Styela clava: one gene and its partner. The protein of the gene in region 1 purifies or fractionates together with the protein of each later gene. This does not show direct contact. Links are inferred from orthologs where the notes say so. Each region holds a gene or a part of one and is shown on either strand. Other genes may lie near its edges.

Region 1 (7,066 bases):
GGAGGTAATTCTTCTCAGGGGTCTCTTCTCTCCATAGTCACCCCCATCCATTTTATTTTCAAAATATAATGACCGCGAATCATTTCTTCTGGATGTTCAATAAACACTAAAAATTCAATTTACTTCCTAATCGTTAGTTACTTACAATCTGACCTATAGTTTCGGAGAGACAATGTGCTGATTGCCAGGATCGATAGTGGTCAAAAACAACGATTTTTCTAGAATTGCAATAGTTTTCAATATTTTGATGACTTCATCAAGTCATCGCTTACCACAAATCTGAAATTAGTTTGAATATCATTACTGAATATTATTGCTACTACTACTGCGCGAGTACTTTTGCGAATCCATCACAGTAATATTAACTTTTTCGTGCTTCCGTACGTGAATGATGTGTTCAAATTTTAGTATTGCAACATATTTGATATTTACAACATATTTACAAATTGATAAAAATAATCATTAGCAAGAACAACAACAACATGATCAATGCTCTAGCTAGATCTTGGATATGGACACGAAAGTCAAAATGAAGTAGTACCGGTATGCAATCTTTCACAGAGGACTACCGGTACCTCAGTCTTCACCACTGCGCCTGACCACCAGCTAGCAACGAAGGCAGACGCGGAACCGCCACAGGGTGCGCAATTTTTATATTTGATAACGTCATCGCACACACAAAACTAATCTTATAGAGTCCACAAAATATAGCCTTCTAGCGACAAATTCAATGTTTAACCACTGGTAATTTCAAAGCAATTGGTCCAGTAGATAATTAAAATAGCTATTTTTTTCTCAAGAAGTAAAGAATGATTAATAAGAGTAACAAAATGATCCATACCGGTATGTACATTTCGTGTACCACAAGGGAACTCCAATACATTGACACGAAAATCAAAACGAAGGGGCGCACTATTGCCGTTCGTTACTAATTACCATCCAAATCAACCAAACTTCGGAAAAATTTTCTCAAAATATCAATATATACTAGACAATAACGAAAGATTGAAAAACATCTTCCCTGCACCCCCCAGAATTGCCTACAGAAAGTGCCCGACATTACGAGATAAACTGGTTAGGGCCAAGCTGAAACCGGAATCACCAAGAGAAGTAGAAACAGGCTTTTTTAAATGCAACAGGAAATCATGCACTACCTGCAAATATTCAAAAGAAACCTAAACAAGCACTAGCAGCATCACAGGGATTCAATTAAGCAGCAATCCAAGAATTTCCCTGAAATTCGGAAAACGTCATATATCTAAGAACCTGTAAGAAGTGCGGTAAGCAATATATCGGCGAAACAGGCAGACATTTAAAGTACAGAATTACAGAACACATCAGAAGCATTAACCAAAAGAACAAAGATCTCGCAGTCGGCAAACATTTCAGTCAATTAGGCCATTCTATCAACGACTTTTTGGTAATCGGACTAGAAAAACTGTATCGAGATTAAGCATACCGACAAACAAAAGAACCTTATTTTATCAACAAATTCAAAACATTGGAACCTCTAGGAATGAATTTGAGAGATGGTTAAACTCCTGATTTATGTTAATTTGAACATTATATTCCGTTATGCGCTTATACTTGATTTTTATTCAACTTTTAAGTCATTATCTGACATTGTAGCCTTGACACTTACATGAACTCAACCAACGCCGCAGACGGAGTTACGGGAAAACAGCACGAAATTGTTTGCTTTACTTTTCAATTATTACTCACTACACTGTGGGATACTTATTGAGTACAATCCAAATCTAGCTTCCCTATTGTTCTGGCTCTCTCCCAATCTTAGTTATTTTTCTCTATCGGAAACAGACCAAACATTTGATACCATTATTTATGTGCATGCAATTGCGTTTCTTGTCATAGTTGTAAAATGCTTGTCTGAAGAAGTCTGACCTCGGTCAGACGAAACGTTACAGAAATATATTTGTGTAAGTGTGCAGCAAGACTCTTGAATTGAATAGAATAGGTATTTTCACTCTTGCTATAGCATCCTTGCGTTATACGCATACGGATCCATCTGCGCAAAGGCATAGAGCAAGGAAAGGTAGTTAGTTTCACGTAACCCCGATTGTTAGTTAAATAAACAATATGTAATTAAAATACGACAACTAAGTTCAGAAATTCTATTAGTCTTCAGGATTGGCTGTGGTATGCAGATTTAGTTAGTTTATGACACTTCAAGATGGAAATTTTTCTAGAAATTTCATTTTTTTATAAAAAAAGTTCAAAATCCAATTCAAAATAAAACGAATAGTATCGTGTGATGTATATATACATATATAATCAAGGATGTCAAAAAAGAATATTAAAACTTCATTTACTATGTTCACACCATAGCTTGAACATAATATAAAAGAATATGAGTGGTCAAATTTAATTATTATATTATTCCAAACACTCTCTGAAACCTATTCCAGTGTATTCAATTTCAAGGCTGGGTCATACATAAGAGGAGAGTTATTATAAATAATTAAAAATTACAATGTTATGCGGAATATCAACAGAACTAATATGATTCATTTTATTTTTGCAATGTAAGACCAGCACAAATACCCAGATGACAAATTGTAGATTTATATTTTTGATAGGGGTATGGATGTCCATAATATACCTACGTTAACAAAGTGAACCCCAATCTGAAATTCTCGGAAGTCAATAAGTACACAATAGGGTACTCCCGTAGTATGTGTACCAGATTAGGGTTAGACCATAATTTTATTTCGATTTTTTTATTATTTTAGTTCTATTACGAGTTCGGGGGCTGTCTGTGTTGGCCAAGTGAATATCCCCTGCCCATAGGTTTCAGTCCGAATTGATCCAAATAACAGACAACGAAATGCACTTAAAACCTCAACGAAAATATATGTGATGAAACCAAATTTCTCACCTAACAAAAAACAATAAAACAAAACGAGAATATCGGTCAGAGACCGAAGACTTATCGATCGAAAGTTAGGGGATCCCCAAAACAGCGATCTTACTCCATAATGACACCTTGTGTCCCATCACTAATTAATTGATAACTCGCTAATTATACGACATAAATCATCCAAAATCAAGCACATGCAAAATCTGGAGCAGATTCAATCTCGCCTCCGTGAGATATCACGTGCATCTAACAGGCAGACAGACAGACAGACAGACAGACAGACAGACAGACAGACAGACAGACAGACAGACAAATACCTATTAACATACTTGCCGATTAAAATCGATAAGTAACAAGCAACACTTGAGCAAGAGCGATACCACGTATTAGTAATAAGTCATCATGAAAATATTATAAATGCAATGAAATTGGAATTATGCGTCCAGTATCAACGTGGTTCAAAATACCAAATGATTCAAACTGCAGTATCAAATCTTTTGCAATACCGGTAAGTAGGCTACCTTCATCGTACCCCAAATTCCGGACATGGCTGAGCGCGAAATCGCTGAAATACAATTGCGAAAACCGCCACATGAGCGCATTTTTTTTTAAATTTTGGTCACGGCATCAAACAAAACTTCAGAGTGAAAAGCGAATCCCATTGAACCCACAGGAATTTGAAAAAAAAAAATGAACAAGAGAGCCATGCTCAAATATATGGACACGTCTGATTCACAAATGTAGTAACACAAGCGTTCCGAATCACCACTATATTATAACACTAGGTACCAGTACCGCGAAGTTCACCATTCCCCGCAAACAAATCTTAGCGAAGCGAGGATTACGTTCGCTTGTCAGCTGATATGCCTTTGCTTACATGCTAACTAACGAAACAATGTCTTCTGACCATTGATGAATGGAATATAACTGAAGATCCATTTCGTTGTTTAACGTACAGCACAATACGAAATAACCCTTTTTAATAGCCAAGCAAAACGGAAACGAATAACACGACACGACTTGCAACCAACAGGAGCGAGGTCCGGATGTTTTTTTTTTGCCGTCTAAAAATGGCGGCTTAAACATGTCACATGACCCGAGCAAGTTATCTATAGGAATAATTTTTTTGGGGGGTCAAAGGTCGGGGAAAGATTCATTGGTCCAGTAGTTAAATGAAATCAACAATTTTGAAAAAGATCATTAGGTCAATTTTGTGTCCACAATAAAACGACGACTACAAGACCTGCAAATCACGACGATTACAAGACCTGCAAATCACGACGACGGTGTGGCTCAACGGGCTAAATGTTAGGAATACGCTCGCAACCGCACCTCTAATTACTCTGCGTGGGTTCGCAGGTTCGAATCCCATGCAGGGATGGTTCTGTGCGAGAGGATTGCTGGACTCCTAGCCGTCGTTGGGTGGTTCACGTAACTAACCGCTGGTCGGTTACGGCTTCCTCTACTACCAAGTCCATGCTTCCGAAAACAAACAATACAGTAAAACTAATCCCATACCCGACTTGGAATGGTAACCGGATGAGAGGCCGTGGTTCGCCATATGGATACGCCGTCTTATCGGCTTTCCTCTCCCCCGGGATAAATATGTAAATCCTATCCTATCCATATAGTAAAAAATAATTCGAACCCTTTGACCTAGGTTGGGAAATCCCCCTTTTTGTTTTATTTCATATTATCTCCGTAATTGCCATCATTTTAGATTTCCTGGCTGCTTGATTAGAAAGATCATTATAATTATTATTATGGCGAGGTGAGTTTCAACTGCTTTTATTCATTTATATATATTATGAATAAATTTATTCATAAATATCGACAATCCAACGTGAGCTCAGTGTTGGATTTCGTGATCAAATTTATAACACCCATTTCTATTTTGACAATACGGCAATATTAATCTAGTTCATGTAATTCGATGATTGTAAACTGGTTTAACCGCCCAAAATCATCATTGTTAGTTTTTCATAAATGTGAAGAGCATGAAATACTGATTAAAAAATTTTTTTACTATCAAGATTTATTATTCATTGTGATACATTTTAACAGTCATTCTTCAATAAAAGAAGAATATGAAAAAAGAAAATTAGCAGAAAAACAAGCACATTCGATTGTAGAAAAACTCATCGAGGAAAAAGTTCAAAAAGATCAGTTTTTGTCCTGGGTATGCTTGAATTGAACTTATTTCACAACTTAAGTTTATCAATAAAAAATCATTTCTCTTGTATGACAGTATGATAGCACCTGTTATCCTTTAGATGTACTGATTTGAACTGCTCTAAATCTTTAATATAACGTTAACTCTTACAGATTTGTTTATGTTTCTACTCTAATCAAGCAGAAATAGGGGAAATATGCCGATGCTATGTTTAGGTAAAGGAAAGGATTTATTTTTGCTTTCTGTTTATCAATTGTCAAGCATCTATTTCCTATAGCAGTATAGTCTGAAAGCGAAGCACCCATGTTATATAAGGGTTGCACCCTTGTGAATACCAACATCCTGAATATATACTTTTGCACATGATAAATTTGAATTCTAAAATAAAATTCAATTAGTTAGGTAGGTAAATATTTTTATGAACATGATATGTAAAAACTTTATATACTATCTAATAATCAATCATAATTTAGATGGGTGATAATTTTAGATGTTTATATATATTAGTTTATATATACTAGCTGAAGTTGATCACCGGGCAACATTATACAGATGCTGTAGAAGAACGTTCATTATCCGACTTATGCGGTTATTGTCTATGCAAAAACAAGCTCAAAGAAGTTAGTGTATTGCTAGTTTTATTTTCTGTTTAAATTATGCATGCTTTCTTGTATATTCATGGTACATTAAACTCAAAATATTTTATTACACTTCAATGTGTGTCAGTGATTTCTTTTATTTCTGGGTATTTTGGATTAAAAGTACCAAAGGTCTTCTCCACAATAATCAATAATTTTCATCAGCAAATATTTTAACCTGTGTCAAACTTCAAAATTTAGAAGCCCGACCTAGTAATTTTTCGGCTTCTTGTTTTTGGTCTTAGATATTTTACTTTTCATCCATATGAACCTTATTTTATCTTGTTCTCTTATTGGTAATATAGAAAAAAGTGGCAAGTGTTTTTTGGATATAGATCAAAAGAAAAAGATGTTGCTTAGTAAAAAAAATCCTGAAAACGAAAACAAATATTAGAGCTAATGATGTTATGATCGTTATATATTTAGATATATTTCAAAACTCTGGAATCTGTGCCAAATTAAAAAAAATTTAGATGTCGAGAGATGGTAATCAATGTTGAAATTTCCGACTGAAAGGCATTAGGCTTATTAAGCATTCTGAACTGTTGAAAGTTCTTCAACCTATAGGCGGAGTGAAAAAATTTCGTCCAGTGTCTGGGGCTAAAGTTGGTCATTTGTTGATTGAAATTGCTTATTTTTAAGCATTGTTAAATAAATTGTTATTAACCATGCATTTATTGATTTCTTGATAACAATAGATTCCAACGCAGCAATATAAGATAAACAAGAACAAAGTGTTTGATATAACTGAAAGGAAGAAATTTTGTAGCAATCGGTGTTACGCAATATCATCCAATATACTAGAACAAATATCATCAACCCCATTGTGGCTACGAAATCATGACCTGTAAGTGTAGTTTCTCATTATTTACTGACATTTTTTTACCCTGTTTACCTCTGCTGAGTCCTATTAGCATTAATGGGAGTCACAGAACTAAAGATGGGCAAATAGATTAAAATCCTTTATAAACTTAACTCTGATTATTCTTCAATTATTGATTTCAAAGATTTATATTATTACTAATAATGTGTCTTGCATACAAAAAAATGAATTACCGTAAATTAAATAGCCTACATTGAAGAAAATAACAGATTTTTGATGACACACATGTGACATGAATATGAATGAGCCTTTGACTTCAGTTTTTAAAATTATCTATGTATTATCTCTTTGATATCAATAACTGTGTGAAAATGTATTCTCTTTCAACCTATATCAGAAAGTTGTTTTGTGCATGAAATGAACAAAAAGTCATTTTTGTCTAGATAGTTTCACTTTAGTGTTATAGTCTTCACTCAGAGTAAGGCTCTGTCACAGGAACCGTTATAATTTCTTAATATTCTCTCTTAACATTCAGAATGCCAGATATCACAATT
Region 2 (7,311 bases), about 1.8 Mb from region 1:
TTGACAATGGCGTTCCTTATGACGTCACAGATGTAAAGTTGTATTTATTCGTGCTCCAATGGCCGTTTCTATTTTCTGGTTAACATTTTTCGTCTGTCAAGCTCAATAATGCCTTACTGCTCGGCTCCAAGCTGCGCTAGAAGAACAAATGATATTGTAGGATTGTTGCAGAGACATTTTACTGCCTCAGATTAGCGTATCACTGTAAAATCTTTATAAAAAAGAACCAAAAATGGTTCTACGCTGTGTTTGGGGTCATATTTAACGCATTAGATTGTTTTTTATTCTTAATTGCGTTATATATTCAGATAGCATATATCTCAAAGTTCAAAATCCACCCTTCAGTTTCTTTCTAGTCCTTATAACAGCGGACTTCGGTACAACAACACGACGAAAATTTCCCATAAGACTGCATTGTTTCGCGTTTGGGAAATATGGCACAAGATGGCGTCCACGAATTTGTTTAACCCATTGAGGTGTATATAACACCTCAATGGTTTAACCAAAGCCCATGTGTTTAACATTAGGCAAGTTTTTTTTTTTTTATTATTATTATTAAAAACATCACTTTTTATCCACACGATATAACACATAAACACAATTGCACTTTAAAACAAGAGAGCTATGCTCAAATATATGGACACGTAGAGTCACATAATTTTGATGACGTCATAGCGAAAAAAGAAGTAATAGCCTTCTGGAGAAAATTTTTATCTTTAACCACTAAAAATTTCAAAGCAATTGGTCCAGTATTCGAAGAGAAAAGCGACTTTTTAAAAACGTGTCAAGCGGTACTGAGTTAGCAGTCAGGCAGCATCTTACCTGTACACTGTAGGCCATATACGGTAATTGATCACAGAACAGTTGTTCCCTTGCAAATTTTATGTTGTTTACACTTTAGGACAGATAATTGATCACAGAACAATTCTTCCCTTTCAAATTTTATGTTGTTTCCAGTAGACTCTCATCAAAATAAACAAATATAGTAGGCTACAAGTGCTACAACGCTTGCATTACTGCACTGGTAGGACCGTGAAAGAATAAGTTACGGTAATTTCATTGTGGTAAGACACCGGTACCGGCACCAGTACCAGTATCGTACTTACGTACTGAGCTACCAGTACCGGTTAGCAGTCAGCCAGCATCTTACCTGTACACTGTAGGCCATATACGGTAATTGATCACAGAACAGTTGTTCCCTTGCAAATTTTATGTTATTTACACTTTAGGACAGATAATTGATCACAGAACAATTCTTCTCTTTCAAATTTTATGTTGTTTCCAGTAGAATCTCATCAAAATAAACAAATATAGTAGGCTACAAGTGCTACAACGCTTGCATTACTGCACTGGTAGGACCGTGAAAGAATAAGTTACGGTAATTTCATTGTGGTAAGACACCGGTACCGGCACCAGTACCAGTACCGAACCTGTAGGTCTGATATTCCGTTCCGCATACGATAGGCTATAAAACTTGCATTGCAGCATTAGTAATACCGCGGAAGGAATAAGTCAATTTCACTGCGTTACGGCACCGGTATGGCAACTTACCAGTACCGACCTACAGTAGCTGTAGTACTGAGCAAGACAATCGATCGCGAAACCGCTTGAAATAAGTGCAAAACAGTGTTCCCATGAGTAAAAATAAATACCGCGAAATTTTGTATGAAATATCATATCTCATAGGATTCATATAAAATTTAAGAATAAACAAAAGTAATAGCCTTCTAGCGAAAAAATTAATCTTCAACCACTGAAAATTTCAAAGCAATTGGTCCAGTATTCGAAGAGAAAAGCGACTTTTTAAAAACGTGTCAAAGAACAAGAACAACAACAAGAACAAGAACAACAACAACATAATATTGAAACGATCGTTATGTCCACTACGTGTCCAAAAATGAGTTCATGATAACTTTCCACTTCTTAATGTGGTTCAACAGTTTACATTTTCTAGTTGCAATAATTTTTTCACAGTTAAATATACTTTTTATCATATATAAAAATTGATCAAATTGAGGCCTTTCATTACGTAGTTTACATTTATAGATATAATATCGTGCACTCAATAAAACACAGTTTATACCTTGGTTTTGCTCTACCCCCATTAAAATTTCTCTATATGTCAGATTAAGATTTAAACCATATTCAACAGTTAGCCGTGCATTAACTATTTTCCAAAATTGTTGCACAAATTCACAGAAATAAAATAAATGAAACATGGTTTCAACATTCCTTTCACAAAATGTACATTTCGGACTTGATGTCTTATTTATCCTAAATAATAGGTCATTTGTAGGTACTGCTCGCAAAGCAAGTTTAACATGGAAGGATCGAAGTCTCGATTCAATAGTGCAATTAAAAACTTTTTCATACTGCGTCAACCAATTATCCAAGTTCTGCACAGTTCATTTGACCATTTTTCTATTTTCTCCTTAGGCATCAAGATTTTTACATTACGAAGCTTATCATATATGTATCTGGAAGTTTTATTGATGCTTCTAATATCTTCCAATAGACTAAGATGTGGATTGGCTTGAGGGGTTTTTACTAAAATGTTTTTCCATGCTTGGGGTATACATGATAAAACTTTTAAATATGATTGCATGTCATTATAAAAATCAGAAAAGCAATAATGATGAAAAATGATTGGAAACATTGCAATTTGGTGTTTAGAATCACAGATATCTTCAATGAAACAAATACCCTTTCTATTCCAATCTTCAATATATGACATTTTCCCTTTACTTGATATCTTTTTATTGAACCACAGTGGTTCATGCAAGTGACTTACATCAGTAACAACTTTAGATTTGAAAATATGCCAATAGCATAGAGTATCTCTTAAACATCTCGACTTAATGTTTTTAATAAATATTCCAAATGGATATACATTTCCATAGAACAAATTCATTCCTCCATATAAATTTAGAAAAAAAAATTCTATAGATTTCCACGAAGCATCAAATTCATCATTTACTAAAAATTTAACCCATCTTAATTTAAGACCAATAAAAAATGATTCAATATCTATCATATTAACCCATCCCAGAGTATCTCTTAAACATCTCGACTTAATGTTTTTAATAAATATTCCAAATGGATATACATTTCCATAGAACAAACTATTGGGAAGTCTCATTGGTAAGGTGGATAATACATATACTAGTGTACTCAACATAAGGGGTTTGATTACCGTAATTTTTTCAAGGAAATCAAGATTTCTTCTTGACCATAATTGTGCAATCATTTTCATTTTCTGGTGTAGCAAGTACATAAGAATAGTTACTGTGTATTGTAATATTTTCACCACTTATTGTTAGCAGTGCATGTTATTTGCCTGAAACAAGGTCGTTGTCCCAATTCATTTCCTTTATGATATATTTTTCTCGCTCAGTGTAGCTTGTCTTTGCCGTTCTTTGTTAGTTAGAAATTTGGTTTCATCACATATACTTGCTTTAAGGTTTCAAGTGTAATTCGTTATTTGGATCAATTCGATTGTGCAACTTTACAATATAACAATTGGCATTCAATACATTGTGTGCTTTTTGACCTCTGAAGGAGTCAAGATCGGAGTTACACTCTGTTAACGTGTGTTCAATAACACGGGAGTGTAGACACGCAGATAGGGTCGAATCTTTGTTGCCCTATACTGGAGTTTTGGCAAAATATTCACAGTATAAAGGTCAGCATCATTTTCAAATATAAAAATACCCAACAATTTAAAATCTTTTGAGTTCCACTCAAGTCCTCGATCTTTCATAGGACAATTTTGGCAATGATTGTTTCCCCCCAGGTACAAAGCTTGGCATTTGCTCATGTTAATTTTGCATCCAGACATGGAATAGAAAATATCGGTTTCATAAAATATTGTTTTGATGCTTTTTTCTGAGCCATCAGAATACACAGAACATTAGGCAAGTTGGTGCCGGCCGTTGCAGCCTACCGGTATGGTATTCGAAGGTTCTAGATTGCTGGACTCCTCGCTGTCGTAGGGCAAAGGGCTGTGAGGTGATTCACGTACGGTAACCGCTGGTCAGTTACGGCTTCCTCCGCCATCAAGTTTGTGCATAAGAACTTGAATAACTGGCTGACTAAACACTAAACCTATTCCAGTACAGCAGTGTTCTTGGCATGGACTGGTAACCGGACGAGAGGCCTTGGTTCAACATATGATTTGAGTCGTATCGCATTTCCTCTCATCGGAAAAATATGTAAATCCTATTTCTGTAAATCCTATACCGGTACCGTATGTCATGAAGTTACCGTACCGGCAATAACCTTACTGCTTCTGTTTTTGCAGACTTTATATGCCATTTCATAAAAAGTAACCTAAGTCTGTAAGTTAACACTTTAACTTCAATACCAGAATTATTATCAAACAGCCTCTAAGGTACCCTACTTGCTATATTACTTCAAGGTACTATCTGACTATTGTAACTTTGAACATCTTGTGTAATGGATGATGAATCGGAAACATACAGGCTATGGAGAATTCGAAAAACAGTGATGCAGGTAGATAAGATATAATATGGTACGGTATACATATATCCAGATATCAGAAATATAGTACTGTAGTACTGTAGTATGAATAAGTAGTAAAACTTGGGTATCGTTTGCATTTTTCAACATCCCTCATTGTCATTCTGTGGGTTGACAGGTTGATGAAGATGCAAACAATATCTAAATTTTACTACTTATCTATACTCTGTTTTCTGAAGAAATGAACGCTCTATGATGAGTACCTGAAAAGCAAATCAAAATTAAAACTGTATACTTACTTTTGACTTGAGACACCCTGCACATAGTATATGTTTGTAACATTCTTAATATAATATTGAATACTGTTGAAAAGATAAATTGTTTGAGTACTTGAGCATGAATAGTCGCTGATATATGGGATTCGTGAATCATAGTCAGGACAGAGTTAGGCAAATACATGCATGCATTATTATTTGTTGATTGAGTATGACAGTATGAGAAAAAAAACTGTGCACATTTTGTCTATTTCATCGAGTCCCAACAAATGTTACGTCTTTTCAAGCTCTGTATCTCTTATATTCATTTTGCTCATTCTTCATTTGCTAGTAATGTTAACAAATAAAGTCTGGGTATAAGTAAAAGTAACCTTTTAATTTGACGCAAACTGCTGTGTTTCTAGCTGTGTCATGATAGGGGATACCTGGTAACTCAACATGAACTGGATCAAACATTGGAAGAATTTAAAGAAGAATTTGGCGACAAACCAAGTGAAAGGCACCCAGCTAGACAAGAGTTGACTGTTCTTGTTGCACATAATGATGATCCTACAGATCAGATGTTTGTATTTTTTCCAGGTATGATTACATATCATTATATCATTCACAGACGTTTTGTACCATATAACCACAGACTTTACTTACTACTAGGGGGCATGAGACAGTTTGAGTTCTGGTTTTCAGATGCCTTGTGAGTTGCTTAAAAATAGTTATATACAAATACGTGTGAATTTATATATATTTATTCTCCACCATAGCGGCATATACCAGCAACGACCCATAAGTATGCCCAAATGTCCCATAAATCTATGTGTATTTGCAAATTATTATTTTTAAACAGCTCCCGAGATGAGTGTGAGACAAAATCATACCCTCAATCAGTCTTGTGACTGAAAAGGTCTGTAGCGTGATAGGTGATTTGTCATTAAGCTTTCTAATATGCTCTCCTGTTCACAGAGGAACCTAAAGTTGGTATAAAAAATATCAAGATGTATTGTCAAAGAATGCAAGAAGAAAATATTCAAAGAGCAGTCATAGTTGTTCAGTCTGGAATGACGCCGTCTGCCAAACAATCTCTGGTTGATATGGCCCCTAAGTATATTCTTGAACAATTCCTTGAGCAAGAGCTGCTGATTAATATAACTGAGCATGAGGTGAGTTATTTTATTGTTACAATGCAACAAATGTATCTGATCAGCATATTTTGTTGATAATATAAGATGCTAGCTACTTGGAATTCTATTAAAATTATTGTTGCACAAAATTTATTTCTGTGTGTTGTCTTCTGCTTTTGAGTGTCTTACGTTTCAGCAAAGAAAGCTCACATGAATATGTTTAATCATATAATGGTTTCAAGTATGTTAGTTTTCTATCGTAGCATTGATAGATTTCATTGCTTTGCCAGCATAATGAAGCCAAATAGAAACAACAACACACAATTCATTAAATTTCAGATGTTGGTGCGACAGTGTCCATTGTAGTTTATAACGTAGCGCCTTCCATTTTGGATTAAGTAGACAATTTAGCAATCATTATTTTTATAACCGCTTCACGATTTTCATTCATCAGGATCATTGAGCTAGAGACACAAGTAAATTTTTACTGACTTGATCCTGTTCTATTCAACACTGGTAATTTAGGATTTGAATATTGTTGTTGTTGGTATACTAAAACCTCGAAACTGAATTATCGAGAACTTGCTACAAAGAAATTGTTTTTTAGAAAGCCACATATCAGCTGAAAGTAATTTGAAAAGAGGAATTAAGATTTTCTTGATTGGAAATTCCCATTTTTTTATATAAGCGGAGAAGTTGAAATATTTTGCGACAGACAGAAAATATGTTTTCAATGTCTGAAAAATTTGTCAATGCTATCTCATGAGAGAAGGAATGCCAGTGCAGCTCCATAGTCGTGTAGTTTTCGTGTTTCGTTACCCTTCCAAGTTGGGCATGGTTATAACCGGCAAGTTAAAGATACCTGGCAGGGACAATAACGTGATCAGAGACTCTAGCTAGAATATGTCTGTAACGAATCGTGTTGTGATATTTCATTCCCTTTAATAATATGGATGCTTCTCTTACAGCTTGTTCCTGAGCATGTCGTTTTGAATCCTGAAGAAAAAGCGGAGCTTCTTGCTAGGTATAAATTGAAAGACCATCAACTACCTAGAATTCAGGGTGGTGATCCTGTGGCTAGGTATTTTGGATTGAAGCGTGGACAAGTAGTTAAAATTGTGCGACCAAGTGAAACTGCCGGAAGATACGTAACATATAGATTGGTGCAATGATGCAGATATCAATTATAGCAGTCACATTGTAGTATTGAGAAGACTAACTCAATGGGGAGTTTGGAAGTAATGTTGATGTTTGGGAAAAAACTCCTTTGGCAATCATATGTTCTCAGAATGAAGTAAACATTTCAACAAAGGGTCATGAAAGGTAGAGCATAAAAGTGAAGGGCGCTTATTCCAGGATAACCAAAATTTGAGTATTCCGCACAATAAAATGAAATACATTATGGCATTATTTTTTGACATTTAGAGGTGAATCCCACCGTA

Evidence for each region. Proteins that work in one complex are often made in the same cells at the same time.
Region 2: the proteins of putative RNA polymerase II subunit B1 CTD phosphatase rpap2 (region 1) and DNA-directed RNA polymerases I, II, and III subunit RPABC1 purify together in Homo sapiens (affinity purification with mass spectrometry; 4 studies listed by BioGRID and IntAct, counting the BioPlex papers as one, with this or other methods). This does not show direct contact. The link is inferred for Styela clava from reciprocal best matches to the Homo sapiens genes RPAP2 and POLR2E.

The regions. Positions count from the first base shown.
Region 1 is NC_135259.1:4,731,293-4,738,358, forward strand, and holds the start of putative RNA polymerase II subunit B1 CTD phosphatase rpap2, read left to right. Parts: upstream 1-4,063; 5' UTR 4,064-4,164; intron 4,165-4,598; 5' UTR 4,599-4,641; coding exon 4,642-4,649; intron 4,650-4,942; coding exon 4,943-5,057; intron 5,058-5,572; coding exon 5,573-5,671; intron 5,672-6,387; coding exon 6,388-6,536; intron 6,537-7,047; coding exon 7,048-7,066.
Region 2 is NC_135259.1:2,953,933-2,961,243, forward strand, and holds DNA-directed RNA polymerases I, II, and III subunit RPABC1, read left to right. Parts: upstream 1-4,284; 5' UTR 4,285-4,455; coding exon 4,456-4,512; intron 4,513-5,158; coding exon 5,159-5,333; intron 5,334-5,711; coding exon 5,712-5,908; intron 5,909-6,837; coding exon 6,838-7,041; 3' UTR 7,042-7,271; downstream 7,272-7,311. UniProt on the Homo sapiens protein: DNA-dependent RNA polymerase catalyzes the transcription of DNA into RNA using the four ribonucleoside triphosphates as substrates.